Oreochromis niloticus: one gene and its partners. The protein of the gene in region 2 purifies or fractionates together with the protein of the main gene of each other region. This does not show direct contact. Links are inferred from orthologs where the notes say so. Each region holds a gene or a part of one and is shown on either strand. Other genes may lie near its edges. The genes, in order: lsm12b, nufip2, ataxin-2-like protein and rc3h1b.

Evidence for each region.
Region 1: the proteins of nufip2 (region 2) and lsm12b purify together in Homo sapiens (affinity purification with mass spectrometry; 3 studies listed by BioGRID and IntAct, counting the BioPlex papers as one, with this or other methods). This does not show direct contact. The link is inferred for Oreochromis niloticus from reciprocal best matches to the Homo sapiens genes NUFIP2 and LSM12.
Region 3: the proteins of nufip2 (region 2) and ataxin-2-like protein purify together in Homo sapiens (affinity purification with mass spectrometry; 4 studies listed by BioGRID and IntAct, counting the BioPlex papers as one, with this or other methods). This does not show direct contact. The link is inferred for Oreochromis niloticus from reciprocal best matches to the Homo sapiens genes NUFIP2 and ATXN2L.
Region 4: the proteins of nufip2 (region 2) and rc3h1b purify together in Homo sapiens (affinity purification with mass spectrometry; 3 studies listed by BioGRID, with this or other methods). This does not show direct contact. The link is inferred for Oreochromis niloticus from reciprocal best matches to the Homo sapiens genes NUFIP2 and RC3H1.

Annotation. Positions count from the first base shown.
Region 1 is NC_031973.2:7,489,341-7,496,661, forward strand, and holds the start of lsm12b (protein LSM12 homolog A), read left to right. Parts: upstream 1-4,310; 5' UTR 4,311-4,343; coding exon 4,344-4,470; intron 4,471-4,750; exon of another isoform or gene 4,751-4,765; coding exon of another isoform or gene 4,766-4,793; intron 4,794-6,991; coding exon of another isoform or gene 6,992-7,021; coding exon 7,022-7,155; intron 7,156-7,321. Other genes in the region: g6pc3 (glucose-6-phosphatase 3), read right to left, coding at 697-1,039, 1,148-1,289, 1,816-1,934, 2,053-2,143, 2,244-2,350, 3,740-3,957. UniProt on the Homo sapiens protein: Nicotinic acid adenine dinucleotide phosphate (NAADP) binding protein. Confers NAADP sensitivity to the two pore channel complex (TPCs) by acting as TPC accessory protein necessary for NAADP-evoked Ca(2+) release.
Region 2 is NC_031975.2:7,233,696-7,240,973, forward strand, and holds the start of nufip2 (nuclear fragile X mental retardation-interacting protein 2), read left to right. Parts: upstream 1-4,261; 5' UTR 4,262-4,560; coding exon 4,561-4,708; intron 4,709-4,931; exon of another isoform or gene 4,932-6,298; intron 6,299-6,305; coding exon 6,306-7,278. UniProt on the Homo sapiens protein: Binds RNA.
Region 3 is NC_031973.2:16,470,280-16,478,180, forward strand, and holds the start of ataxin-2-like protein, read left to right. Parts: upstream 1-4,882; 5' UTR 4,883-5,508; coding exon 5,509-5,633; intron 5,634-6,965; coding exon 6,966-7,005; intron 7,006-7,873; exon of another isoform or gene 7,874-7,901. Other genes in the region: mto1 (5-taurinomethyluridine-[tRNA] synthase subunit MTO1, mitochondrial), read right to left, coding at 15-182, 274-431, 512-621, 706-877, 969-1,173, 1,272-1,402, 1,556-1,746, 2,028-2,140 and 5 more. UniProt on the Homo sapiens protein: Involved in the regulation of stress granule and P-body formation.
Region 4 is NC_031982.2:15,300,159-15,308,164, reverse strand, and holds the start of rc3h1b (roquin-1), read left to right. Parts: upstream 1-4,993; 5' UTR 4,994-5,140; intron 5,141-5,381; exon of another isoform or gene 5,382-6,326; intron 6,327-6,365; 5' UTR 6,366-6,548; coding exon 6,549-6,779; intron 6,780-8,006. Other genes in the region: uncharacterized protein si:ch211-13f8.1, read right to left, coding at 909-981, 2,256-3,465. UniProt on the Homo sapiens protein: Post-transcriptional repressor of mRNAs containing a conserved stem loop motif, called constitutive decay element (CDE), which is often located in the 3'-UTR, as in HMGXB3, ICOS, IER3, NFKBID, NFKBIZ, PPP1R10, TNF, TNFRSF4 and in many more mRNAs.

The DNA of each region.
Region 1 (7,321 bases), on a different chromosome or scaffold from region 2:
TGAGCTTTCAGATCGCTGTGAAGTTTAATTAAAAACAATAAAAAAGAATGTGTTTTTATCTCATGATAACTGATTGTAATCTGTACAGTCGAACATATGTATTGGAAAAAAGGAGAACATATTTATAAATGGTTACCAACTGAAACACGCCCTGCATGTCAATCATTTATTTTTACTGATTTGGGAATAACATAGAAATGTAACTTTCAATTTTTTGGTCACAAGGCAATAACACAAAGCTGAGCATCAGACATCTGAACAATGTTCAAGTTCTTTGCCTTTCACTAGCTACAAATCTGAGGTGTACCAATCTTTGACTCGTAAAGATTCAAACAACACAAAATGCACATAAACAAAGTTGCACGTTTCCCAATAAAGTCGATTTTTAGCAAAAATACTGTAGTATTTACAACACTTATGATTGCACTAGATTCACTAGAAACGTACTTTACGCTACAATGTCTCAATACCGGCACTTTAAAAATCATCAAAAAAGGAAAAAACACAGGTCATAGACTGGATTAAAGGCCATTGTTTAGTGAATTTTAAGACATGAAAAGTAAACTTAACCCGTACCGATCAAAATGGTTCTGAAACGCAGTGAACATTAAACATTAAATGTGTTTATACAAACTCTGAAAGAAACTCCAGTTTTGGGAGGTGTTTAAGGTGCACATCATGTGTGGAGAAACTCTTCTAGTCTTTCTTTTTTTTGAATGTTAATAGGTGTACCAGCCCAGGCACAAGTACCATAACGATCAGAGGCACTAGGACGAATTTGACAAAGAACAGGCTGTAGAAAAGGCCCTGTGGTCGGACAGGGAGCGGTAGACGATTCACGTGGTAAAGACCCATGGATGATATAGCCAGAGACAAAGCTCTGGGAGCCCAAGGTAAAGACCATCCACCAGGCTTCCAGTACTGTGCCAGCCCCAAACCCAACAGGGCCCCACAGTCTCGAGTGAGAGAGGAGAATGGGGCTGTGTCCAAACGAATCCATTCTGCATGGCTGCACCATTTCTTGGCCAAAGCAATAGACCTGTTGAATCAAAAACATGACCGGTCATGGCAGGAAGTCCATTCATATTATCACAACATACACTGATCAGACTCACTGATTAAACATTAATGTAATAGAGTAACTCACCAAGAAAGGTCAATTCCCAGCTGCTTTAATCCAGCATAGAGCATCAGAGCTCCAAACAGAAGCCCAAAGCTTAAACTAAAGAAGAACAGCAGGGGGCGACCTTCTGGTACTCTGCGGCTCAGGACAATCCCCAGAATGAAACCTGACAAGAGCATTTCATCAGATTAAGCTGCACACATAGGAAAACTATCCTATGGGTCTGACAAATCCAATTATGAAATTCTTTTTTGGTTACTACAAAAATCCTGTAGAATTGCACAGATAGTTGATAGCAAGCAGCTCAAAAACCAGCACAAGTGATGATGGAGTGCACTAGATCTACACCTGTGCTAGAAATATTAACACTTAATGTTTTGGAGCAATCAATGCTTTGATCCAGAGGACACCTGTTTTAGGAGAGGCCTCAATCATTTCAGCAAACATCATTCTGCAGCACAGCTGCATATCTACACAGGTCTGATACATGCTTGCCTGTAATCCATTACACTCAGTCAGTGAAAATATTTAGTGTATTTTGAATTTAAACCTGTATGATTTGCAGCTGTGATCATATATAAAAAAAATGTCTTTTACACTTTGAAGATCACTGCATTTGGCTTTTAATATACTTTTTATAAAGTGCCCCGCCTTTTTCAGAAATATGATTTTTGCATAATATGTATTCAGACCTGTAATGGAGCCAGCAACGACCTGATGAGGAAAGTGTGCGAGGATGAAGATCCTGGAGATTCCAACTGCAACAAGCATCACCACATAGAGCACGTAGGGAGCAGCTGATAACAGAACACTCCGGATTCAGAAAAGGAGAGATTTGTTTAAAAGTAGTTCCACTATGCAGCAGTTTTTGTGCATTTTTAGAGCCAAAGCAGCATACTGCACTGGATTTAGCTTAAATAGGGACATACCTGTGAGTACGGGAGTACAGAAAGGACCCCAGCGAGGACACAACGACCCACCAGACTGCTGCTGTCACCATCGCATGTCCAGACGGACTGCCTGAGAAACATATGCCAACTTTGGAGAGCTGACTGTTTGATGATTTAAAGACATCGCCTATGACTCAAACACAGTCTATTTTTCTAAGACAACTTCTAACCTGGGCCTGTTTCGCAGGTGGACGGAAACTGGTGAATTTTCGGTTGCTTGTTGACAAAAAGACGCGATTCACCGATCCACCAGAACGGCCTCTCTCCAAACAGCAGCCTGATTAAAAATAAATGTACACACACACCCCAAATAACACAAATACATTCAAGGTCATGGCTTCACTATATTTTACTACGTTTAATAAGTTTTTGTTTTACTTATTGAATCTAAGACATTTTACTTTTTTTCTCCAAAAGCCTCTGCATATTTACTCTTCATTCTTCTTTTTACTTTACTGGAATTTATTTAGTTCAAAGTTCCTTACTGTATTATATTTGGCTATACTTCTCCATCAACACCCTCAGAAAATAATAATTAGTGTAATCAGAAATATCTAAATCAAAATAATACATGGCGTTTTTAAAAATCGATATTATGTCCATAGTAATTTAGTTGTATTGTTTCTCTACTTTGTATATTTTTAATGGCTTTTGTATTTTTCTTTTTTTAAAAATAATTGTTGAAGATTTGCGGGTTTCATTTTTTTCTATGCATGTTTTCCTCTGTCTTCTGCGTGTTTCCCTTAATTTGATCTTGTTTTATTTCTAGTTTTTATGGTATAATATAAGTAAATTTGTTATAATAACAAATTTATTTGTAATAACATTGTAACAACAATGTTAATAGTATGCAGGTTCGCACCAAAGTATATTTCAGATGTTGGGGTCCTCAGCTAAGGCTGCTCTCGCCATCCCATAATCTCGGCTGAAAACCAAAGGCTTTTTCTGTCAGGACACCCTTTCTCTGGTACAATCTGTCTGATGAGATTTAGGTCATTATCGTCTTTTAAATTTCTTAAAAAGGCATTTTACGAGCATTCTTTTTCTCTGTTTCCACTTTGTGTTACGATGTTGTCTTTCATATTTGCTTTATCATCTTCTTTTAGTAATCATTGTTTCTTTTATTTATTGTCTGTCTTTATTTCTCTTTGCGTTCTCAGTATTCATATACCTCATGTTGTTTCACTTTTATTTTTCCTTAAACGTTATATTTGCTGTTTTCAATGTTGTCTTGTGAAGCATTTTATAACTTTGTTATTATCCATCCATATCATTGCTTTTCTAAAATTTAATCCGGTGAATATTTAATATTTAATTTCCGTTTGTTTTCGTCACTTTTCTTGTTACACTCCAGGCTGTTTGTGGGGAAAATTCCACGGAACTGGTCACAAATGGTTCCGTTCATTTCTGTTTCACGTCGGACGCCAATAAAAGGTTGTACTACTTTGCTGTACCGGAAGCAAAGACTAAACTAAAATTATCTAGTTATTTGTTTAAACTGGAAAAAACGAACACGTGCAGGCGGTCTTGAATATATAATTAAAAATTTTAATGTGAAAAAAGTTAATGCAGCAACATGCTACCATGAGACATACAACCGCAATGATAAGTGTAAAAACTAAGTTGGACAGGAATATTCAAATCGTGGTTCATTAAAACGCCTTACCATTTGAACACTAAGTTTAACCACTCCGATATAGCTGCCGCCCAAAGCACCGCTACTCCAGCTCTCCTGTTGATGAAATAAGTGAAAGGAAAGACGAGCAGAAAGGCTGCTTTAGGATCTCCCATATGAGTGACCGTAAGCCAGACTTTCTCCTGAGTCTTCGTCCTCTGCTGGAGACTTTCAGCCATCCAGACGCCTTGGGTATAAATCTCCTCCATTCCTTTCTGCCCTCTCCCAGTACAAACACTTTGATATGTAGATGGCAATCTAAAGACAGCCCTTTATTTGATGTGTTACAATGAATTCCACAGTACTGCTCTACATCCGGTAGGGGGCGGGACACATCGGAAGGCGGTTCAATGGGAAACAAAGCGACATCCTTCGTCGAAGAGAGAAGTTGTATTCGTAGTAGTTCTACAGTTGAAGACGTTAGTTAGTGATTCAATGATACAACTTTACGTAAACTAGATTTGATTTGGCAGCACATATAATTCATTAAATTAGAAGAAACGATCGACGTACTTTTGTTACGCTCAGGTTTCGTCTCCATACGACATCGCGTCGCTTTACGTAAGGCAGGCGCTCCGGTTTCCTGGCGGAGAAGATGGCGGCTCCTGGACCCGGGGAGTATTTTAGCGTCGGGAGCCATGTCGCATGCGTCACATGCTTGGGCCAACGTCTCCAAGGAGAAGTGGTCGCGTTTGACTACCAGTCCAAGATGTTAACTCTGAGTATCCTTTTGTTTGTTTCGAGCTGCGGATGGAGGGGTTGCTGGCCTGCCTGGCTGCAAGGGCCTGTAGGGTAACCGAAATATGGCAAATAGTGATCCGCGCAGGCGTAATTGGTGCTAGCAGAAGCACACACGTTTGCCCGTTTTATATATGTTCATGTTTCAGATAGCACCTCATCTATCTTCTGTCTGTGTAAGCCTTTAGTTGGGGTTGCCTGGTAGTTTCTTGGCCTCCCATTAGCCGCTCTAGCAGCGCATGTGTTTTGAATCCACTCATTGTATTGCCAGCCCTCAACATGGATCATTATCTGGCAACGAATCCTCGTAAGGCATCATGGCTGTGTGCTCTCAGCAGGCACAACCGCTGCTAGTTAGCGAGCTAACTGATACTGGGAGAGTCTCGCGTGTTGACGGTGTCCACATATTGACCTCACATGGTTGGTGGTGCCATCAGCCGGAGATGCTTACGATTATTTGTACAAGTTAGAGATTAAGTGGTTTCCGAGTCCACGCTATACAATCAGGGTGCTTTTAGCATGTTAGCATGCTAGGTTTCGGTCAACCCACACTGCAGCTACTGGCTAGCTCAATTAACGGGTTTGGCGTTCTCAAGCTTATCAGCTGGGCTGTAAATATTGTGTGATTGTGCCACAGTTCATTTTAACATGAGTCATTTGTGTGGGAGAAATAACTTACTAACATTAGTTTGCTGGCGAACATGTCTACACCCATCAGTGTGAGTGAATGAGTGAGTGTGTGAATGTGCTTCGTATCATGTCCTCCTTTCACTGATCACCGAGTTAATTGCACAGACTCGAGAGGTTATCGTGTAGTTATCCTCATTGTGTCCAAACCTTGAGGTGATTAAGTCAAATGAAGAGTGGGGAGCGCTTAGAGCTGATAGTCAAGGTCTTTCTGAGTGTTAGTTTAACACTAAAAACACTTTGTGACGTTATCTGAGCTGTAGAAAAGCATGGACATCTACTTTAAGCTCTGCAATGTATGGTAATGACTAGTTATAAACGTGTAAGTGTGCTCAATAGCCATACAGGTATTGTATGTATTTCTGCTTTACCCTTTGAGCAACCCCCAAAACGTGATTAATCGAGGTGATATGTTCGCATGCTAAGTTTGAATGCAAGGCCTGTGTAAAATCAGCTGATTTTTCTTATGTATTTATCGACTTTCAGACAGTCTTTTCCAATGTATCTATTGCAAGAATTCGGTTTATTCTTTTTTTTTTTTTTTAATTATTTGTTTTTTTATGGATCAGTTTGCCAAAAAACACATACAGAACAGTTAGATCTAAGGTTCATAAATGGCGTGCCTTGGGATTTGGTGAGATCCATCTATTATTTAAGCAGCTGCACTAGAACCTAATGAGTTTAATTTATATTTGCTAAATTAGCGGACCTCTAAGATCCTAAAAGATGGTGAGGAAAACAGTACAGTGGATTACTGTATTTTGTGAAGCAGAGAGTGGGCAATCCCCTGCCTATACAAAAGACACTATCTGTGAATAACAGTATTTCAAGACAAGCTGGCTAATCTTAACATTATTCCAAGACGGGATACTTAAACCCACACTTGATTTGAATTAGAGGCAGACAGTTTGTTGGAATATCTGTGGAGGGAAACTATGTGGCAGTAGAGCTTACTGTAAAGATGTGCCATGAAATGTTGGTTTGCTCTTAGGTGCACAAGACCTTTGAAAACTGCTGCTGTGATAGGAAATCCAGAGCAAAACAAAAATCAGACTAGTTTGTATGTTACGTTTGAGTTCCAAAGTCAGCAGTTTATCACTGTTTGAGTAAAATTTCCTGACAGTTGTTATTACTAGTTACTGCACAGTGAGAGGATATGTGTTATGACTTAAATAAATAAATAAATAATAAACAGGCAGTGTTAAAGCCCAAACAGTGTGTGTATTGCTGGTCAGTCATAGAGCGAGCCAGTCCTGTAATAATAATAATAAAAATTTAGTAATGTAGCTCTTTTCAAGACTTGGTTACAATAAGCTTCACAAAGCTTCACAATCAATAATCAGCAAGAGAAGGTAAAATGGTAAGAGCAACAAGTAAACACTGATAAACTTGGAGAAACTTGATATGATGGGTAATAAATAAATCAATACAGTAATAATTAAAGTGGAGTGGTGATTAAAGCAATTTTACTCGCTAAAAGCCGTTAAGGTAAGTTGTAGATACTGGGTTTGCTGAGCTCGTTATGGGTGCTTCATGATTGTGGACCATCAGTACATGTTGGGGGTTTTTTTTTTTTTTTTTTTTTGCAGTTTTTCCTCTCATAACACATTTTAGCCATCTCCATTCATTTATAGATGCTACAGGTGGCAGCAATGCTTTCGGTAGTCCCATGCTGTAACTGGCACTACCTTTCACTGTCAGTGTTTGTCAGCCAGTGCTCTCTGAATAATGAGCTTCTCTGTGCAGAAAACTGATGTCCCAAGTTCTTCAAGGGGACAGATAATAGTCATTTTTGTTCTGTCATTCACTGTCACAAAGTTGTTTGCCTTGACCTAAGTGCCTTCAAAGAATGTGCTTCCTCCAGTGGTAAGCCAAACCTCAACGACGTCATCCTGATCAACTTAGCCTATGTTTCTGATGTGGACATTATAAATGACCGCACCGAGACTCCACCCCCTCTAGCATCACTGAATGTTAGCAAGGTAAGTCCAGTGATTTATTTTATTTTTATACCATTTATTGGTTTTTGTGCAACTGTGTGAATTTTACTTTTAACCATCAAAACTTTTTATATTTATATTTTTATTTTACTTTTATTATTTTAGCTGTTCATTTTACTCTACTTTTTCTTTCTTACCCGCCTGACAC
Region 2 (7,278 bases):
AGTTTTATAAAGGAAAATCTGTGCGTGCAGTTGCTGTAGCCTCACATGTACTCAGACTGCACCTTTATGTTTTTTACTGTGCACTAATTTTACAGATGCCACAGTGGGCATTGTGCAAAAACACGTGTCTGCAGCATAATTGAAAACATGTACTTGTTATTCACCGTAACTATGATTTAAAGGAATCAAAAGAGTCTGATTGCAGGCTGCAAAAATTATGGAATATGAATATATATGATATTAGATTTCCTGCTGAAGGAGATCAATCTGTAATAAAGACTTGAATATCCTGTTTGAGAAATATGTTTGCTTGAAAAATACTTTGATCTCTTTGAATTAGTAATATTCATCTCAACCATCTGAATCTTTAGTTTCATATCTGCATACTGGCCAGATATTAATATTATAAATATTTTATCAGGAACAAGAGTAACATTATGTAAATACAATTAAAGTAAGAAATATAGCATTATTATAAACTAACAACTTCCAGAGAGCACTGTACTATTCCAAATAGTTTCTATTCATACAGTATTAAACACAGAGAAATAATCATTAACTACATTGAGGAAATAATGTTTCAGTTTTTCAGAATCTGGCTTATTTGGTTGTCGGAATAGCTTTTTAAGCTGCACACATTTATTAACCAGTACTGAGTTCTCCTAAGGGCTTGCAGAAAGTGTGTTATACTGGTGTTTAACAAAGCCCACCTAAATTACACAGTAGGAGTAGACTCTGTCTCTTCTTATCGAATAATCTCTGGAACACATTGTTGGTACATCTAAAATAAATACAGCTCGAAAAGTAGCGCAAAACCTTCACTCTTGACCCCATGGGAGGAGCTAGGGGTGACCATAGCCACATCGGAACAAAGTCTGACCACCCAACACAACCAATGGTGATGCATTAGAGCGCTACGCAAATACTACTATTTTACTAGAAGAACATTTTATGTGGGACAATTTCTCGATAGTGTATTTTTACAGTACTCATTTAAATTTAAATTGTTTCTAAACTTAAACAATTCCAGATCTGGCTTACAGTGAATGCAAAGCATAAAGATCCTCTGCAATCCTAATATACCTCGATGGTCTCAGCTTTGTCATCGTATTAGAAATGGTCTGTTTCTGCCACCGTTTTGCCCCCAGGGATCCAGTCCCTAATTTTGTTGCTATTGTTAGGGTCCACGTTCCCCTTTAAAAAGGAGGGTCCGCTTAAATCAATAGAAACTTGTTCTGAGCAATCACTTTTATTCTGTGATGACGTATTTCTTTCCTGATGGGGAGTGTTGTCTTACAGGATGACAACACATCCATCCATAGGGCACAAACAGTCACTGAAGGGGTTGATGAACATCCACAGTAATGGGAATTGTATGCTATGGTGCTTTGCATTCCCTCATTTTGAACCATCAGGGCTCAACACCAGCCATCATCCAAACACCTAATGAGGGTCTATTATCCCCACTGTACAGTTCTAGAGACTTTGAGAATCAATGCCAAGGCACAGTGAAGCTGTTCTGATGGGACACTGTGCTCCATGTCCCATTGCTGTTGTTTCTCACCTGTCTGCAATTTAATGTGTATTCTAAAGTTATTATAGTGTTACCTGTCACTGTTTAATGACAGCTGCAAAAAGTTTGGTTCATTCAGACAACATTCAATTAAGTTGAATGTTTGCTTAATAGATCTGACATTTTATTTCAAAGACTTTCTCCAGAGAAACTATCAGAATTATCTCACAAATGCTAAACTGCATTTCATTACATTTGTCCTCCATCTGATGCCTGAGTCAGTCTTCATTATGATTGCAAATGATAAATAAGCCATGAATAAATACCTTTTGAGCAATAACTTGCTCAGTACATCATATGAATTTGGTTCTTAAGGTATTGCTAGGTAAGCATTTCTGAGTGATTAGTCTGTGAAGGTTCTCAGTCATCCAGGTCATCGTAGTCAAAGGAATTTGCAAAGAAAAGCGTCTGGACTTCTTTAAGTTGCTTGAAGACGTTTCACCTCTCATCCGAGAAGCTTCTTCAGTTCTAAGGTCAAATGGCCGAGAGTCCCAGATTTAAACCCAGTGGGAGTATCCCCCCAAAGAGGGACAAAGGACCCCCTGGTGATCCTCTTATCACATGAGCCAAGGTGTGAAAGCGGGTGTGGGACCTAATCAGCCAGGGTTTCGGGATGAGCTCATTGAAACGTCTTCAAGCAACTTAAAGAAGTCCAGACGCTTTTCTTTGCAAATTCCTTTGACTGAGTGATTAGTCCATCACATGGTTTTAGCTTTTTATAAAATCAAGTTATCACATGAATTATTCATTTTAAAAAGTAGAAAAAGAGCAAACATCAGCACTGAGACTGTGTGAAACCAGGGTGACCTCTTTTTTTTCCTCCTAAATAGTGTCAAAGATAAGAGGATCCGTGACACTGTACTGTATTTGTGTTTGTGCGAATCAGCTACCCTCACCATGATGAATCCAGAATCAATGTTCATTTCAGTCATTTTCTTCTACTATATTATACTCACCCTTGGATAACTACACTTGCATGCCTGAGTTTAGCTTAAACAAGGGACAGCCACCACAATTTCTTGCCTTTGTTTTGAATGAAAATTTGTCTTTCTTTTTTCTTTTTAGAGCTAGAATAATAATAATGGATTGCATTTATATAGCGCTTTTTGGGGCCCTCAAAGCGCTTTACAATTCCACTACTCATTCACACACTGGTGGAGGCAAGCTACAGTTGTAGCCACAGCTGTCCTGGGGCAGGCTGACAGAAGCGAGACTGCCATGTCGCGCCATCGGCCCCTCTGGCCATCACTAGTAGGCAGTAGGTGAAGTGTCTTGCCCAAGGACACAACAACCGAGACTGTCCAAGCCGGGGCTCGAACCGGCAACCTTCCGGTTACAAGACAAACTGCCAACTCTTTGAGCCACGATCGCCCCAATGTACATTATTTAGGCCCAGTATTGTGTCCTATGGGGTATTTACCCAAATACTATGCCAAAGTTTAATTTTAATGTATGCACTTCTACATTACTCATGTAATTGTATGAAAAGCTACTTCTTCTACAACACTGTATTTTAGTGTTTGTACTCTAATTGTTTAAAGCACACATATTAATATAAAACACATATGATGCTATGTTGTTAAAGAATTAGCTACCCAGAAGTATATTAAGTAAAAACAATATACACACTGATTAATAAGTAACTATGACTCAATAATGTGTATTATCACAGAAAAGGCCCGTTTTTACACTGGGTATTTCAAGTACATACTGATGCTACTTTTTAAGTAAGATTTTAAATCCCAAAATTAGATTCAGAGGTAAAGGATTTTGCAACACTATGCAAAATACCTAGTAAATACCAAATAATATTCACACTCTTACAGTGTCACTATTCCTGCTATATTATTTTTTAGGTATGTTGGGGCTCAGCATTGTGACAAGGGCCTGAAAAATAATGCGCAAGCCAATTTAACGACTCACGGTTTCACAGTAGAACATTGCACTCTAAGAAGATGATCAATGTTCTTCACTTCCCCAACAAAACAGTCTCTACGGCTTTGTATTTTTTTAGTCACAAGAGGGTGCTGTTGGTCCGTTAAAGTCCTGCATAAGCAATGTTGCACCGTGCCGACCCCAGTGTGCACAAAAGTAAAGCACATAAACCTTTTTTACACTGTGTGTCAGTCGAGAATGAATAATGAATTAGCTTATATGTTATATGCACATATAGTAACAGGGAAGCAAATCGGTTTCTCTACACTTTAATAGCAAATAGCAGATTTAAATGTACCAGAATATACATATATATAGATAGATAGATAGATAGATAGATAGATAGATATAGATATATAATTGTATATGTGTGTGTGTGTGTGCGCGCGCGCGTATGTATAAGGGGCCAAATATGGGAAGCACTAAATGGATGTTACTTTTTCTAACCCTAGTATACATTGACTTCGTGCTTCGTTGCACCAACTACCCAATTGATATTATTTATTTCTGTGCATACGCAAGGATTATTAGAGTAATTTTGTTGCTTGTTCAGAAAACAGGAACAATGTTCTGTACTGATTAAACACTCACAAATGCATTGCTAATAAATTTGCAATGAGTCTGTTTTTTCCATTTTGGGAGAGGGGTTGGTCTCGCCATCACCAACATGTGTCCACTGGCTTGAGACGTGGCAGCGCCTCCGGTCATGTGATTTTTGTTCGCACACGAACCCCACCCCGGTATCGCCCACCCCAAAAGATTTGTTTTAATATCGCTCCTTCGTTATTCTTCTGTCAGTTATCCGATTAAATACAAGCACTGACAGAAAAAAAAGTGCTGAGAAATATTCCCCTGCATAACTCAGCACAAATAACTAGACATGGATTTGAGTGGTGGCGGTGACCACCCAAAACAGAGCCATTTTTAGACGTTTACTGCTGACGTTTACAGAGGCTTCAAATAGCTTCCGTTTTACTCTGGTAGTGATTGGACTGTCCTGTACTTGAGTGAGCTAACATACTGGTTGAACAAGTCCGACATTCTTCACTTCAATGGAGGAACAGCCCAAAGACCGGGCACAAGACAGGCAATACCATCACCACGGAGACGACAGGCACTCTTTTCAGCAGCCAACTTGTCTAAAAAATGATCAGAGCCACTTCCAGTGCCAGCATCAGGAAACGCAGACGAAGAAAACAGGTTGGGCCATCCCGAAAAGTTAGCTAATGCTTGCTAGCCTTGGTCAGCTAATGTCAGTGAGCTGACTAGCTTTTGCTAACTAATGTGAACTAAATCGCAATTGAGGACTTAGCCTGCTAGCTATTGGTTCATATTATATATGGTTCCTTGAGATAATTTGGTAAATGTTTCAGCTGGTGAAAAGCTTGGCCCTTTTTGACGGATAGCCGGACGAGGAGCTCACCGTTATGTTAGCAAGTTCGCTAGCTGACGTTGCGTGACAGTTGTCGCTGTGGTTGTTTGACACATCGGGGATTGACCTTGTGCGCCGGTTTCGCCAACCATTTTTCTTTTGCAAATGCATCGTAATCATCTCAAGGAACCCCTGCCATGTTGCCATGTGTTCTTAGCGCATTATTTGATAGGCGTGCACGGCAAGTTATCCTCAACAATAGTCAAAGCTGTGTCTTTTTGTTCGGCATGCTCATGTCCAGCTTAGGAAAACCGAGCCGGCTCCACTGGAATGTTCTGAGCTGCCATTTCCTGTCAGCCATGTTAGACTATCACTGCTGGCTAATGCTGTAGTTCCACAGCTAGTTAGAAATTGTTGTACAGGCAACATACTTTGCTGTTTTGGCATGTCTCTGCTGTCATTTTGGCTGCTGTGGTTGTTGTTGTTGGTGCTGATAGGGCACGACAGTTCCTGGGCGTGTTGGTGGCAACCGAGCCGCTGGTTAGTTGACATTAGCTAAAGCTAGCCATCACTGACAGGCCTGTTGCGTGTTGTGAAGCCAGGCAACAACTGGACAATGTCTTGTTTTGTGGCGCTGAGCTGACACTGTAAGCATCGTCTTTACGAGACTATATGCATTCGTATGATTGCTAGTGAGTAAGAACCGGCCTCCGTCTAAGAGAGGAGAGACCGTATAGAATCCATTGGGTGCTGCGCTCACAGACATTGAGGCAGCACCACTGTGAATGAAAAGTCCTACGTTGACACAGCAATTCCCATGCGTCTGTGCAGTGCACGGGCCTGTTAATAGTTTATTGCTCCTCTGTGCGTGTGCCATAAATGCTGTTGTGAGCGATCCTTGCAGACCTTGCAACAACTTGTGTCTGATGTCGAATATTCTCTGGGGTGGGGGAAGCTAAGCAAGAGTCCTTTACGTTGTTGACAGTTGTGAAGCATATCTAATTTCTATAACTTGTTACATGTAGTGAGCTCTCAGCTTATCTTGGAAGATTGTTAGGAAGTTTAATTTCAGGCAGCACTATAAGAATAATTATAAACCCAATAAGGAGATCAGTCATGTTCTCCATGGGTGTGGTTTACATGTAATACTAGAGAAACATTTAAAAGTTTAATATGCATCTTTTTTTACTTGGATTTGTTTAGGTTAAGAGTTGCATACATGTGAGTCACTTTTTTGCTATTGCGATAGCATGCGTGCACGCACACACAAAAAATCTATAAAATCCTTGTAGTTTCTCCAAGTTTGAAACAGATTATTTGACACAGACTTTCTGTAAATGTAGTACTTGTGGAGGTTTTCTGCCAGGTGAAGGGTGGTGGATGTTCCCTAATTTCAGTATCAACTGATTTTATTTCCCCTTTCAGGCAATAAAAAAGTAAGCATCAGTGACGAGGAGGGAGAGAAGAATCCACATCTGTCTAATGCCGTTGGCATGTCGCATCCACCTAGCATCAATGCTAACAGACATACAATTAATACAAATGCAAAGCCCAAATCCACGCAAAAGCTGTGCACGACTGTTCCAAAAATAAGCATCAAAGGACTGGACCATAAGAAGAGTATGGACTTAAAAAATAACAAGGAGAAGGTGCAGGATTTGAGTCATCATGAGGGCCCGCCTTTGGATAAGAAGGACTCCGTATTACTTCAAAATGGCGTCGTAAACTGTGGCTTAATTACAAATGGCTATTCTAGCAAGGACAATGACGGTAGTAGTTCGGAAGGTGGATATACTACTCCGAAGAAACGCAAGACCAGATGTAACAATACAAAGAACACTGATAATGTGATAAGAGAAAAGGAGAGAGACATGCAGCAGGGCCACACTACAGAGGAGCTGGGGGCTTTGAATCTAGAGACAAATGAGAAAGGAATGACCTCCAGACTCGATGGATTTAGAGCCACCCAGAAAGTAGAAACTCAGTCGACAGCCAAACGGGCTGTTGTATCAGAGGCTTCAGTGGGTGAATCTCAGAGGAAAAACTCTGATGGTAAAACAGTTGGCACCTTTGGTAAAAAAACTGAGGAAAGACACAAAGGCAAGCTTTCTTCACCTTCAAAAGAGGACTCGTGGACTTTGTTCAAGCCTCCGCCAGTATTTCCTGTGGACAATAGCAGTGCTAAAATTGTTCCCAAGATCAGTTATGCAAGTAAAGTAAAAGAGAACCTCAACAAAGTAGCTCAAGGTGGAGGAGAGGCACTGCCTCCTCCTGTCAGACTGTCACAGGTCCCTATGTCTGCTATGAAAACGATCACCTCAGCTAGTTTTACTAATGGTCCTGTTTCTGGAAATGGAAACGGTTGCCCGTCAGTGGGTACCTTCTTAGCTCCTGCTGC
Region 3 (7,901 bases), on a different chromosome or scaffold from region 2:
ATTTTTAGACTGCATCACTGAGGTAAAGAGGCACTGTTTGCACACAGCTCCTCATCTCTCTGCGCCTCCTGGTGTCGCTGGTTTCTGTGCGTTTCCTTCTTTTTCTCTGTGACGCGCACATAGTTGAGGAGATTGACGACTGCAGCAGGAGTTATACCTTCCAAGCGAGTAGCAGCGCCCAGCTGGAGGACAGAGCAGAAGAGTCAGGGCATATTTGTTCCCTTTTATTAAAATAAATATTTCACACTATTATTTTGAAAGGAGCGGGCTCACTGTGCTCGGTCGAACTCTGTCCAGGATCTCTCGAACTTCGTCGGAAAGCGACACCGGCAGAGAGAAATAGTCAATGTCCTGCGGCAGGGACATGTTCTCCTCCCTCTGAATTCTCTCGATCTCTTTCTTGTTTAAGTCGCAGTGAGGCTTGTACACAGCTGTGTGACAGACCAGAGAAACGTTTTAGTGAGAGTTTTATTGTAGATGAACATTTCAGGCGGGGTTATTTTTGTCTTACCTTCTATCTTAAGTCTCTGTGCAAATTCCATATAAGACGAAAGGCTCTCGGGGAAGGCAGATGCCAGCATTTCAAAGGTCACGTCGTTGTACTGAAGAAGATCTAAGCCACTGAAAAACAAACATTAACCAGAAAAATTTTTTAAACTGACATGAAAAATTAAATTATTAGCTTGGCAGATTTCTATCACTCACGTCAGTAAGGTGCTCTTGGTCTCACTGATGGGAACACTGGGAAGCTTCTTCTTCCAGCTCGAGGTAGACAGAAAGAGAGCCTGAAGGGCTGTCAGTGCATCCTGGAGGCTGTTCCTCACTCTTAAAGACTCCTGGTAGCGCACGGAAGACACACATCCCACCTCCTCAAAGCCTGATGGGAAATAAAAGGTAATGAGATGAGGAGAAGAAGTGAAAAAAAAACAAACGCAAGCACAATAACACGTTGGAGATGCTACACCTACCCTTCGGGGTCAGGCGGAGGTCGGCGTTGTCCGGCCTTAGAGAAGTTCGAAACTCGGCCCGGCTGGTGAACATGCGGTAAGGCTCTGTCACGCCTCGACTCACCAGGTCGTCAATGAGAACTCCGATATAGCTCTCTGTTCGAGACAGCGTCACTGTGGGCATGGAGAGCGCCCAGCGGGCAGCGTTTGCTCCCGCCCACAAACCCTGCTCAGATAGAAGAAGAAAAATCAGTTGGTGATAAGCTGCTTCCAGCTGTGTGTGTGTGTGTGTGTGTGTGTGGCTTTAAGGAAAGAAGCAGCTACCTGTGCGGCAGCCTCCTCGTACCCCGTGGTGCCATTGATCTGACCGGCCAGAAACAGACCTTGAGTGCTCTTCACCTGCAGCGCCGGGCTCAGCTGAGTGGGACACACAAAGTCGTACTGCACGCCATAACCTGGAAATCCCAGAAAACAAACATTAGACTTTCAGTTCTGGAAACCAGCCTACTTCTGTCAATCCATTTTTTTTTAGAATTAGGGAAGAATTTAGGGAACTGTCACTGCTCTCACTTGTTACTAGGCAAATCAAACAGGATCTAAGGACCTACCTGGCGTGTGGATCTCAGCTCTGCGCATGGGAGGGATTTCTCTGATGAGGCGTAGCTGTATGTCAGGGGGCATTGTCATGGACAGACCCTGTGGGTACAGGAGGTCAGAGGTCACGCCCTCGGGCTCCAGCCACACCTGGTGGCTTCGGCCTGGAAAGCGCAGCACTCGCGACTCGATGGAGGGGCAGTACCTGTGAGAGACGAAGACTGCAGGTCATTCCAATTCAGCTCGATTGTTTCAGTTTTGCATAAAAATTTTATGATACACAGTTATACTGATGTTTTTGTTTTTGTGGCATTTTCTTCACAAAAACTTTCATGTTAAAACGAATCTACATGCTTTATTTTGCATTAAAGAGCAGACAATGATGGAATAACTGAAGTGATTCCTTCTGAGTTTCAAACCATTGAGTCCAAAGTGTGTGTGTGTGTGTGAGTGTGTGTGTGTGTGTGTGTGTGTGTGTGTGTGTACCTGGGACCTTTGGTGTCTTGCTGTATGTGACAGTTTAGTTGAAGACTCTCCCTCACCACTCTCTCCACACCCGGTGTAGTAAAGGTGAGGTAGCAAGGCAGCTGCTCTTCTGGCTACAGAGGGTTACATTTCAAAATAAAGCAGCAGGAACAATAAACTAGACAGTGAGTTAAAAAATAAAAGTCCATTCATTCAGCTGTACCTTGCAGTGGGTGTGGGTATTGAGGAAGCTGAAAGGAGTCGGGTGACTGTCGGGGAGGTGAAGCTTAGCCAAAGAAAGGTCTACTGAGTCCTTCACAATCCTGGGAGGGGTACCAGTCCTCAGTCTGCCTGTCCTTAGCCCCAGCCTCTCCCTCAGCGTATGGGACAGCCCAGGGCTCGATGGAGCGTCTCCAATCCGACCCCCGGGGGAGGTAGTTTGACCCACAAAGAGGGAGCCAGACAGGAACGTACCAGTGGTAAGAACCACTGATCTGGCTGAGATCGCATGGCTGCCATTAGCTGGTTGTTCAGGAAGTGCAAAAAACATGAGAAAGTAAATTCAGTGTATAATATGTACCGTTTGCCATTTAGGTCCTTGTCCTTAAAAGAGTTAATTTGCTGTGTACCCAAACGTATCCCGGTGACTCTGTGGTGCCCGGGCTCCTCTGGGTTTGGTTCTGTTACCAACAGCTCCTCCACTGAGCCCTCCAACACGGTCAGCCTGGGAGTGGACAGCAGCTCGGACTGAAGAAAAAATATGTAGCAGACAAACATTTTAATTCACTCGCAGACAAATATTTTACTTTAATGGATGAGTAATTCAAGTTTTTGGGTTTTTTTCTTAACCTGAATGAAGTCTCGGTAGCGCTGACGGTCCAGCTGGGCTCTCGGACCCCACACGGCAGGCCCTTTTCTACGATTCAGGATGGAAAAATGAATCCCAGCCCAGTCCCCTGCCCGACCACACAGCCCATCCAGAGCATCAACCTCCTTCACGAGCTGGCCCTTCCCTACTCCTCCCAGAGAGGGGTTACAGGACAGAGCACCTGTGGGAATATTATCAGAGAAGTTTAGTTTTCCCTGTTGGAGGAAAAAGAGCTTCTTTGTTTATGTGTCCCTTTATCCTCACCGATGGTGTGAATTTTCTGCGTGATGAGGAGTGTTTCAGCCCCAACTCTGGCTGCTGCCGCCGCTGCCTCGGTCCCTGCGTGACCCCCGCCCACCACGATGACATCATACTGATGTCCTGCGAGGTGACCGACATGTCTGGAAACCGGTGAGAGGAGACTGTGCAGGAAGGGAAGCTTCTTTCTCAACATGTGAGACGCACACCTGTCAGAGTAAAAGTTAAATGATGGTGTATCCCTGTTAGATACTCCATTACTTTCGTGACCCATCAGCTTTATTTCAACTCTCAACTTGGAAAAATAACTTTGTTGTTTACAGTGGGTAAAATAAGCAATGAACATGTCAGCAACTTTCTAAGTAAATTTTCTAAATATTTCTAAAGGTGCTTTTGACATAAAAAATTCTCACCAGATTTCAATAACAACCCATCCAATCCACACACCCAAAGAAATCAAAACATAGAAGCCATGATGACAACGGCTGAAATCTGTCAGTAATTGGAAAATAATCCTGCCATTTATTGCAAATTAATATCAGCTGGTTCATTCCACACTTATGGCCTATAACAAGGTGTGTTATTACCAAAATGGCACACAAGAAACATCTAATAATAGGTAAAAACAACGAGCTCGCTCAAGACGTTTAAGACAGTTGATCTAAAGGGTCCCAAACTACCAAGAGAATATCTTCGACATCATTACACCATCCAGCTGAACTCTTGGTACAGGGCAGGATGGCTCCATGCTTCCATGTTTATGAACCTACCATCTGAGTATCGCATCATCAGGCCAGCCAACATTTATCCAATCTCCTAATTTTGGTGAACTTGACCTCAGTTTCCTGTTCCTGACTAAAGTAACGCCAGGTGTGGTTTTGTGCTGCTGCAGCCCATCTGCTTTAAGGGTCCACGTTATACCCACTGAGAGATGCTCTTCTGTGTACCTTGACTGTAACGAGTAGTTGTTTGAGTTACTGGTGCCTTCCTGCCAGCTGGAAACAGTCCGCCTTTCTCTGACCTCTGGCATCAACAAAGCATTTTGGCACGAATTCTAATTTAATTTTAAAAAATGGTTATATTGAACATGTACAGCTTTGAATCAAACCGTATCCTCGCTCTCTGTTAGTAAGAGCACAACTTACAAATACGTAAACAGTTTAAATACGGCTTTGTTCACTCAGCGCACATGTGGATCCACAACAAACTCTCCCCTCAGGTTTGAAATGTACTTACGGTTTATTTGGGAGAAGGCGTATTGTTGTTTTTATTTCAGATGCTCTGTAGCAGAAACTGAGACTAACAGAAAGGCAAAGATCATTTAGGAAAATTACCAAACTCCTGCTACATAAGTCAAAGTATCCCTATGGAGGCCGCCATGATCTCTGTAGCTCACAACCGTAATAACTGGTTTACAGACGCACTGAAAAAAACGATGCTCGGCTTGTTTCAGCCTTTCGCCTGTGCTGTTGGTGTCCTCGTTTAGTTAATGTTACAATCATGAATCAAATATAATAAATTAATAAATACATGCGATCAATACAGATATGAAAAAAATAATGGGAGATGATTAAATTAACAGAAACCAAGGTGGTGATTTGTAAACAAAACATTAAGTGTTCTGTATGGTGACTGCCACGTTTACAGCAGGGACCACCCATCCTTGATTATATCAGCGATACAGTGGTATCGATTAAGTCCTGATTTAATCAATGCACACATTCTTCCACGTAAGCGCGCTCACGTCAACGCCCCCTCCCCCTTTGAGCCGGTTTGCAGTCAGCCGCGCGCGGATTCAGTCAAGCTGTCCTAGCGAGAGGAGGTGTTGACCGACCGCAGCAGGTTTTCCGAAGGAAACCTGAAAATCTAAGTTCCACGGCAGAGGACAGTAACGCCGAGCAGTAATTTTTTTATCCGACGGTTCAGCGGTGTTGGATTTAAGGCGACGCGGCCGAGGATATAAAGTAAACCCCGGAGGGAGAGCGCCCGAAGTGAGCCCGAGGATCACAGCTAATGCTAACCTAGCCAGCCTTGGCTAAATAATTACACGGAAGCTGGTGTAATTTTTAATTGTCGCTTGCTTTGGCGTAGCCTGTGTGGTTGTAGAGTAGATAGCGTGGGGTAATTTGTTAAGTTATGTGTCCGATTTAATTTTATTATCGAGGTGTTTTTGCTTTTACATGTTAGGCCACACGCGACTGGTGTTCACCTAGCAAGATTAGCCACAATAGCCGGGGAGGTTACGCCGGCTCTGCGCTTCTTAGGGCAGCTGATAACTGCTAAAGATAGTTCGCTTTCAAAGCTACTTCACATCAGGAGGTATCGGTGTTTTTAAGTGAGCTTTCACTTGATACTGTCTAAGCCTTGTGCTTCGCAATGCTGAAACAACAGCAGCAACCCGGATCCGGCGGGAGAAAGGCGTCTAACGGGACATCGGGCCCTGCCAGTATGTCTTCTCCAGTCAGCGGGATCAACAACGCCAACAGGGCACCGGCTGGAAGGTAAGGGGGCTGGGATTTTTCTTTCAGGACAGTCCGGGGATTGTCCCGTGACTCAAAGGCCTACCGGTTAAAGCGCTGTTTCCCAGTGGGCGTAACCCCAAAAATAGAGCTTACCTAGAAGCCAATGGGATTCACTCTTCTTAGATTGGCATCAAATGTGGACCAATCAGCACGCTCGAATCGAACCTCAACCGAATCAGCGAAGTGGCGAAAGCTAGGAGTAGCAAATCAGCATAGAGGTGATACAAAGTTTATTTGGCCTGTTTTTGGTTGAGAAGGGGCGAAAGAGAGGGGAGGGAGAAACTGTTTACATGTATAACCTCACGTCCCAAATGCTTAATAAAAACGCCTGATACAGTGGCTGTGTTAACATTACACAGTTGTTATGACCAGTACGAGGTCGCGTGTGCTGCTGATTTGTGAGATGAGCGCGTTTACTGAAGTCTTATTAGCTCCGTCTTTGTTTTGTAACCGAGCATGTAGCAAGCATTGATACGAGCCACAGTGGCCATTCATGATGGAGTTACGTTTAGCATGCAGATTGGTCTACATCACCCTTTCATGGCTTTTCCAGTCGTATATCAAACGTTTTTTGGGCAGAAATGTGTTTTTATTTTTCGATTTAGACTTCCTGTTTTCTATCTTAAGGACGCATATTAAAAAAAAGATTCTAACTAAACTGACATACGTTATTTATGTCTAATTATATTTTATTTATATCAACAGTTATTATAGGGCAAATTGGATTACGAATATTACAGAGAAACCAACCAATACCCTTTCAGCAAGCAGGCAGTGAGAGTTGGGAGAAAGATCCTCCCTTTAAACAGAAGGAAACCTACAGAAACTTGCATAGCCAGGCCCCGGGGAGGGTCGACCATCTGCCTCAACTGGTTGGGGTGAGGGGAAAAGGGAGAGGGCAGGGAAATCAACAAACAGTGTGGTAATAAACACTAGGGAGAAACTTGAAGCTCTAGAGCCAGACATACCTGCAGTGAGGTGAAGGGGGATGGGACAGATGGGGGGAGGGGGGGGGGGCTTAATCTGTAAACAAGTATTATTTCTTTAAACAATTTCTATGTTCAGATGCCAGTGTTTTTCCTTTAAGTCACACAGTTAGAGTGCGTGGATTGAGAATAAATTAACTGTGGAGCTTTTCTGGTGAGCAGGAATGACATAAGAACTTGTCCTGCCACTCTGGGTAACTCTGTCTGCTTCTCGAATAACCAAATTTTTCTAGTGTGTGATGTGGACTGTGACACTGACTCCTCAGACTTTGAAAACAAGTTCTTCTCCTTCTGAACAGCAAAACTTTTCTGTTTTGTTTTTCAGGAATCGATCTTCTGCAAAGCCATCATTCCAGTCATCTCCTGTAAGTATCCTGATCCACAAAACTGCAAATACACACTACATTTTTAAAATATTATTGGGAAGGAAAATATATGGCGATACTGGGTAAATTTATATAAATTATTATAAATTATTAAATTTTACTCATTTAGAAGCATCGCTGATGTAAAACACATTTTATAGGGCAATGTATTAAGCCCTTTGCCTGTGGAGTCAGATATGCGTATGACCTGTATTTGGTAAAGTCCTCCTCTGTAAAAGGGCCATTGAAAGGTTTATCTACAGCTGCTCTTCGCTCACCTGTGGCTGATTGCATTAGCTGGTCTTTACTATGCCTGATCCTATCCACAAAGTTACTCTGTTATGACCAGTCATCAGATTGGGGTTAAAACTGCGTGTGCGGTTATGTGATTGTACACAAGACTGTGGAGGTTGGTTAATTTCTGATATGGCAGATACAAAGGATCAAAAGTGAAAGTAAAGGCAGTTGAGTAAGAGTGAAATTAAAGAGTCAAGCTGTCCAGTCAGTGCAAGAACACACAAAGAACTGATTACATTTTTTGAAAAACGCAACCAGGAAATAAGTCATTGTTTAGACACTGGCAGCTTCTAAAAGTGGAAAGATATTGAAATCAATATAAATGTTTGCGTTTTTGAGGCATTTGAAAAGAGGTTTTACCCTTGCCTGGTGGATTGTTCGTCGTGTAAAGTAGCCGAGGTGGCCAGATGTTGAGTCGCGGTTCGACTCTAACTTTAAATCTAGTGACAAGTCTGGAGTACATTATGATTTCTTCTCCCCATCATGTATAAAAACAAAAACAAAAAAAAAGTCTGTTATATGGCACGGGACGTCACCTTTAGCATAACCTGTGCAGAAAGAAGATTTTTACCTTATGCTGCTCTGGACTAGTTGCAGGA
Region 4 (8,006 bases), on a different chromosome or scaffold from region 2:
AACTCACTAATGAGACAATCTGCCTGCATCTGTCTGAGAATGCTGAATATTTGATAAAGTGTTCAAATTTTCAAAGCTTATTCTGTGCTGACACATATCCAGAGACATCATATTTCCCCAAAGATTGACTTAACACGGAGCCCAGCAAGCTGCGTCTTCCTAAGCTGTTTTATGTAATATCAGATAGATAGACTGGGGCGTGGCTCTAGTGGTCAGCAGCAAAGGGGAATGTCATCCATCCATTTATCCATTCATCCATCCATCTTTATGCCCAGCAGCTAAGCCGCTCTGCATTGTGCTTCATCGTCTGTACTTCTCTTTATCCCCTGGCCCAGTGATAAAGATAGCATGATACACCAGCCACGTGGATTATCTTTGTAATGGACTAAGTGTGATTCATTCTCTCCTGTATGACAAGATGAGAACATATTGTCTTTCACTAGATTACAGTTTGTTGTGTCACCGCAGTATTCAAACACCAGAAAAAGGAAATCAACAAAGTTGAAGCCTGTCTTTAAATATCATATGCAGCTCTTTATTCTACAGTTTATAACCATGTTCAAAATAACAACCTTTATTAAAAGGATGGCTTTAAATAATAGTGCAACTGGTGAAAAAAGATAACAGTGTGTCAGGTCAACAAGTGACGAGCGAGTATCAGATATAACACATAATTGATACTCGCTCAGTATCCCCAGTGCACTGCTTTTGATAATACTCGACATCATCTCTTCCCTGTGATTAAACCCGATTATCAAAATGTTTGTTTGGATTGTGCACCAGGCATAGTTGCCTCATTGGGTAGATTTTCTCAAGTGCAGCTGTAAAAGTGAAATTTATGAGGAGAGGATATAAATAGTCCACAGAGATTATCTGTCACTATCCTTGCCAGGAACTGCATTGCTCACCTTAAATAGGGTTCAAGTTCCTGGGCCAGAATGGCTGAGTCTGAGGTGTCCAAAACAGGATGGGCACCTGCAACTGACATTAAAAAAGGAAAAAGATATGAGCATATATAAGAGCGCAGTCAAAATTTCTTCCAGATAAAAGGATTTCTTGTCTTTGTTTCTTCCTTCACCCAGACATAATGTGCTACAGCACATTAAATTATTGTTTAATGTTCCATTTTTTAGGACTTGCCTTGCGGCAAACACAACTGCAGAGAGAGCAGTCAGCCATGACGTGACCTACAAGGACATTTGGGTATCAAAGAAATTGGGACTTGCTATGATCAAAGGGATTTTCATAAACCTTATAACATTACGTTCAGATTAGACTCAGTGGCAGTCTCGGAGGTCATCCCTAACTCATCTTTAATCTCGGACAAAAAAAAAAACCCAAAACAAAACAAGACACACACACGCACACGCACACACACCCATACACAGATTATGTAACTGCTGAAGGATAAAAGCAGATTTCCCAGAGACAAGAGGGCAAAATCATCTCATCATCACGGACTTGCACCTGCATCTCTCGTACTGGGCATTGAAACTGAGATCTGTGCAATACTACATGATCATTGCATGGGAAAATATATCATCTGTCATCCTACACACATACAAAGACATCCATTAGCGCGCCGGCAGAGATAAAAAAGACAGGGACACTTCCCCCACTGCTCTATTAATAGTAACACCCGCATGCACATCTGCACATCTGACATCTGTTCAGCACTGGGAACCAGCCAGGTTACATTCTGCGTTTCAATACAACATTGTAGGTAGGCAGACTACGGCTGAATGGGGCACTTTAAATGGCTGCAACAGATGGAAATCATTCTAAGCAGACAATGTGCATAAATTATTGACAATTTTCCAGCTTTAGAAGGTTGTTAGGGAAAAAAAATCAAATGCAAAATTTTACATTTTCTGTCCTCATCCAAAATGCTAACACGCCACAGGAGCTGATCCAGCTCATAACATTCGACTACACTTCATGAGGAAGCTAAAGTAATACAGAAAAAAATTATGACTAAGTCACAACCTGTTATTGAAACTATATCAAGTATTGTTGTCATAAATATGGCAGCATGTGTTTTTTTTTCTTTTTTTAAATAAAGGCACGCTACTAAAAATGCTATTATTGTATAGCATAATAATACTGCAAAAGTAAAGTTATGTATTTCATGCCATGGCCAGGAGTTTCAAAACACTTTACAGCTTATTTATCAGTAAAGTATTACTAAAGCCCTTCTCAGATGGCTCCATGCATTACTTTTTAGCTTTCTCTATTATTTTCCTTAATAGACCTACCATTATAATCCACTCTGTACGTTGTTTCTTCATAATAGCCAGTGATTTCTCCTTCGTGCAGTTCTCTCACTTCCCTGTAGTGTTGTTGTCTTTCCCTTAACTTTGCATAGGCCCTCTCCTTCACCCTCAGTTTATCATCAGCGCAAAGGACTCCACTTTGTGAAGACATGCTCTCCGAGCTGTCTGAACTGCACAGTCCTTTATTGGGATCAGTCACATCTGTCTCCCTCTGCTCATACTTGTCCAGGTACCACTCCACACTATCAGACTTTTGGATTTCAGAAGACACATCATAGTCATTCGCCAGACCTCCCACATCATTCTTGTTGCCTGCTTCAGCCAGTTTAGGCTTCCTCTGAGGCTCTGCTAGTGCCTCTGTCCGAGTGTAGTCCTTTAGTGGTAATGTGGGGGGTGTATTGTGAGGGTCAACCCCATTGAGAAGCAACGTTTCTGGACGTGCTACTCTCCAGAAGCCCTTTGGAGGGGCCCAGTGTCTTGCTGAAGGAGAAGAAGTGGAGGAAGTAAAGGACGATGTTGTAGAAGCAGAGATGTTGGAGGAGAGCACAGGTGGTGGTGGAAGAGGAGGAGGGGAAGGGGATGGGCCATCCTTGCTAGTGCTTGAGTTGTCAGACAGAAGACTCTCCAGACTGGTGCCCTCTCCAAGCCCACAAGGCTGACCTGTTGGATGACTGACCTGTCCATCATTGTTTTCTGACTGCTCCTCTTCCACTTCCTCCCCCTGCTGTACAACTTGTGCTTCAGCGGGAGGACTGTGGATCTCCAGACTGACTTGTACCTCTACCTCCTCCTCTTCATCACTGCTGCTTAAGTCCTTTGCACCACCTGATCGCCAGGAGGGAGCAGGCAGAAACAGCTGGCCTTTCACTTTGGGTCTCTGTCTAAGGAGGACTTCAGATGAAATGTGCCCCGCTGGGTTGCTCACCAGCACCTCCGTGTCAAATCTTTCTCTGTCTTTCTCCCTGTCTCTTCCCCTTGTTCTTCTCTGCGTGATCGACTTCACCTTGGTCTGCAGGGCGTGCACAGCTGAACTTTGAGCAGGGGGAGGAAGAGAAGTATTCAAAGTAGTGGTGGGTGGGAAAACAGGCTCAGGAACAGGCCCAGTAATGAGTCCCCAGTTTATGGGAAGCCCGGTGGGCAAAGGGGAGCCGGATTTTGATTGGATATTATCAGCGGCTTTCTCTTCCTCCATTGGCTAGTCATGCACAAGAAAGTCCAAAGAGATTCTGAAAATAAAGAACAAGAAAGATAAAAACATTTCCTATTCAGTGTATTCTACATCTCTGTTACCAGATACTTTTTTCCTGTGTGCCGGGTAAGGAGATATGTAATGTGGACTCTGTCACGTTGCCTTATCCAGTGATTACTTTGCAGGGCACAGGATAATCCTTTGGAATCAGAATAAGCAACTGCTGCCTGCAACTGAGACCCTACAGGGAATAAGCAGTATTATATGTTTATGTTTGGTTGTATATATCAGAAATAATAAACCATTTTTTTTCCTGTTTGCCATTCATTTATAGAAAAACTGGGGGGGATCAGTTAAAGTATTTAAAATTCATTATTTACCCATAAGAAATACGCACAGTGGCAGTTTTGTACAGGCTACTGTTGGTAATTATGCAAACCGCCTCCATAAAACCAATTTTAACACATCATTATCATTAACAAAGTAGCTTCTCATCACATTAAGAGACAGGTTGGTTTCGCTATTAGAAGGCTAACAAACATTTTTTAATGTACCTGCACTTTTACTGAAGACGGCGTACTTTGACATGCAATCCCAGCGTCGATGGTCACGAGAAAGTTGCCATAAATTCTGGGGCAACCGCACAAATTAAAGTTGCCCTCCATAATAAAAAGCTGCGCCAAGCGTGCAGTTTTTGCAGCGCGCATCCTCGCGTCACCAACTGGCAAGACGAGCGACGTCCCCGTGGATGAAATAATAATGATAATAACAAGATTTCCAAATGTTTCTCCAGATTCTGAGGTTCTGTTTTCACTCTCCCTCTCTCTCTGTCGCTCTACGTAGCTCCGAGCGGTGTCAGGCGAGTCAGCGGTCTCTCAATCATGCCTGGTCTGATAATCCCCTCAGAAATCAGTGGGATTAAACAAAAATGGAATAAAAAAAATGCCTGCTTTAATTTCGCTCTTGCCTCACGAACCCGACGTCGAGTGGAGCTCTGTGTTGCGCAAGTGCACACACACCGATTCCCTCCCCGCTGTAAAAATAATAATAACCCAATGAAAAAGAGAAAACAATTCTAGTAAAATGGCTTGGGGACCTCTCGCCCAAATGAGATATCCCAGATACTTTTCAGTCTTTATTTCGGTGACTCTGATTGCAAGGAAGTGGGGTATGCTGCGTTTTAGGGAGCACGGGTCTAATTTTGTCTTGCAAAAACAAATGTCAGCTGATTCTTATTTGTCAATACAGCTCCCTCCCTCTGTTTTAATCTGTCTGAGCTCTCCTCTTCCCTTCTTTTGTCTATGTTTCGAAAACAGATACACAAACATATTTAATATATATGCACTCGTGCAAACTCAGCAGTTTAACTGTGAAAAATGTTCCCAGATGTGATCTTCTCAGCACCTGCCCAGTTTCGGTATTTTGTGTGTGCGGCTCAATATCAACAGAGGGCGCCATTTGCCCACAATCCAAACGCGCACACGCAAAAAAGAAAAAAAAACGCGCGTGCACGCACACATCTTTTCCAGCTAGCTGTAACCGGCTAGCGAGTCTGTCGTCGAGTTGACACCCTCTCCCAAACCTTGGCAGCAGCTAAGCTGCACAGTCGACATGGCAAGAAAATATCGCAGCAATTTCCTAAAAAAAAGATGAAAAACTTCCAAGTCTTTTGGAATAAGTGAGTAGCATCGACAATAACGATTTATCTGCTCGGTGAAAAAACCCAAAGTAGTAGTTGCATGTTTAGTTTTAGGCACATTAGTGACGCATAGAGATTGTTAGCGAGCTAGCTAAGAAGCTAAGCGCTAAGAGAGTGGAGAGAGTAACATTTGTTCATTAGCATGTTAGCCCTCTGTGCTCATTCCGACGACAAGAGCGGTTGAGTTATGTGCCCCTCAAAACAAGACTAAAGCACAAACCTGGTCAGTTCTTAAGAACTTTCTGGTATCGAGTTGTTGTCACTGTGTCTGGTGAATATAAAGACATTTTGGGACAGTTTCGTTGCTTTGAAGTTACGGGTGCTAGCGTTACATAATCTGACTTGTTGTGTCTCTTAGATCTCGTTTCCTTGAACAGCGCCTCCTCGAAGGATAATTAATATCATTAAAACTGTAACGTATGAGCAACTGTGACTATATTCAGAGCAATAACTGTGTGACAGTCGGTCAGCGAAAGGTTTCAGGTCGTTAAGCAACTGTTTGCTGATCAAACGACGTTTGCCCGTAGCTAAGCTAGGAAACTAGCCACCCATAGCTTCCGATGCTAAAAGTAAGCTAACGTTACCTAGAGTTAGCTAGCTATAAAAGCGTCTCGTATCACTCGTAAGATTAGTGGGTGCATAACGAAACACCGAGATGGTCACAGCAAGGATAAAAAATACTGGGCAACAGCGCATTGTTGGTACAATATTATCAAGCACTATCACCAGACGCTAGCTTTATATCAAGTTAGAGGGACTTGGTGGTTAGCCTATCCTATACCCTTTGTCCATAGTCATAGTGATAACCAGCTCTTTTTTTTTCTCTTTTTTTTTAACTAGGCCACGCCGCAGTTGTTTTGGTCCATCTCAACCATTTGTTTGATTCCGACTTTACAAATATGTGTTGTGTCGCGTCTGATTTGCCGTTACATTGTTTTGTTGGGCTTGAACAACGTAATTGACAGGAAGAGGCATATTTTCAGTGCGGTTAGTTGTTCCACGGGAAACCTGCTTTATAACCACACGGCATAGAATGCATTTCTCAGCTGCAAATGCACTCATGCACAGTGTAGCCATGTTTTATAGTGTACTTCTACAATGTTTTGATGTAAAACTAATAACAGTATGACACGTTTTATTAAAAAAAACGACAGTTTGTGAATGCGGCAACAACTATAATTCCGTTTCTCTTTCTGCTTTACAGTATTCATCACGAGATGTGATCCACAATCCACAATGTGTGAGGACATTTAAGAACGATTGAGTTCGGAAGAAAAAAAATTGATTCCAGTGGAATCTTTCATTATATATATAAAATTATTATATATTTTCCTCTGTGATTAAGCTCACATACATTTATACACACCCATCCCATCAACATATAACCATGCCAGTGCAAGCACCACAATGGACAGAGTTCCTGCTGTGCCCGATCTGCACACAGACATTTGAGGAAACTGTTCGCAGGCCCATCAGCTTAGGCTGTGGACATACAGTCTGCAAGATGTGCCTGAACAAGTTGCACCGAAAGGCCTGTCCCTTTGACCAGACAGCCATCAGCACAGACATCGAGCAGTTACCTGTCAACACGGCTCTGTTGCAGTTGGTGGGAGGCCAGGTAAGACCTTTGTTTGTGTGTGTTTGTCATAAATTGCTAAACAAATGTACAGAGATCTGACTTTATACCGCCTGTGCTGAGATTTTGTTGACGCTATCTTGTGGTTAAGAATACTAGCTCATGGGTGTGGTTTTTTTGTTTTTGTTTTTTTTTTATAGTAGTGAAACATTTTAAGACACCAATCCTGGTTTTAAAGGATGACGTTTTCTGTAATTACTATGGATTGTATTTGTGTCACACATGGGTTACTACATGGTGTACATACTTTTGGGATTTCTTTCTGAGTCACCCTGCAGTCATTGAGCAATGACTTGAATTATGCTGCTTTACTGAGTGCTAGCGCATTCACTAAAGCCGTATTTCTCAGAGGGAGTGTTATACCAACAGGGTGAGGCACAGCTAATGGTGTCTGGCTTTGTTGGCCAAGTTTCTAAGTTAAGACTGCAATAATGGATAACGTCACTGCATCACTTGTAATGCTGAAATGTGTCTTCTCTAGTCATCATGACTGGTATGGCTTGTCTCTTAAACAGATCTTAGTCTTATTGCACATTTATGCTAATATAGTTTAACTAGGTAGGACTTCCTTAAACATTCCCTGTTTGATGTTGAAGTCGGTTATTCATATATATATGTATATATATATATATATATATATATATATATATATATATATATATATATATATTAGTAATGTAAAATTTGCTTCTATGGTGGAAAAATATGACTATCCCTACCACACGCGGTGTGCCCCACACACATGTATTTGGACAGACTGAGTGATAATAATGGTGGCAAACATTATCAAGTAGCACTCAGCTTTGTTATGACCTTTCTCGGAATTGGCCTTAATGTGCTGACGTTAGCCTTTGTGAGCTTTGCTTGTGGAAGATTGCAGCAAGAGATTTTGCTAACATTAATGAGAGCATCTCAGCATATTAATATTTCAATACATGCTGTTAGAATATAGTTAAGTGAAACTCCTTGCACAAATGAAAATGCCTGGTTTTGAGGGTCTTTGACAATCTTCAGCTGATTACTTAAAAGACAATTGTGACTAAAATATAAAAAACATTCTAATACCAGCGATTAGTGAGAATCCACATAATTTGAAATTAAATGTAATATATTTTAAGTAGTGATTATTTTAATTGTTGTGCAAAATGAGTTGTAACGTGTTAAATTGGCCCTCAGTCCAAATTGTTTCTTACCGTAAGAATAACCATA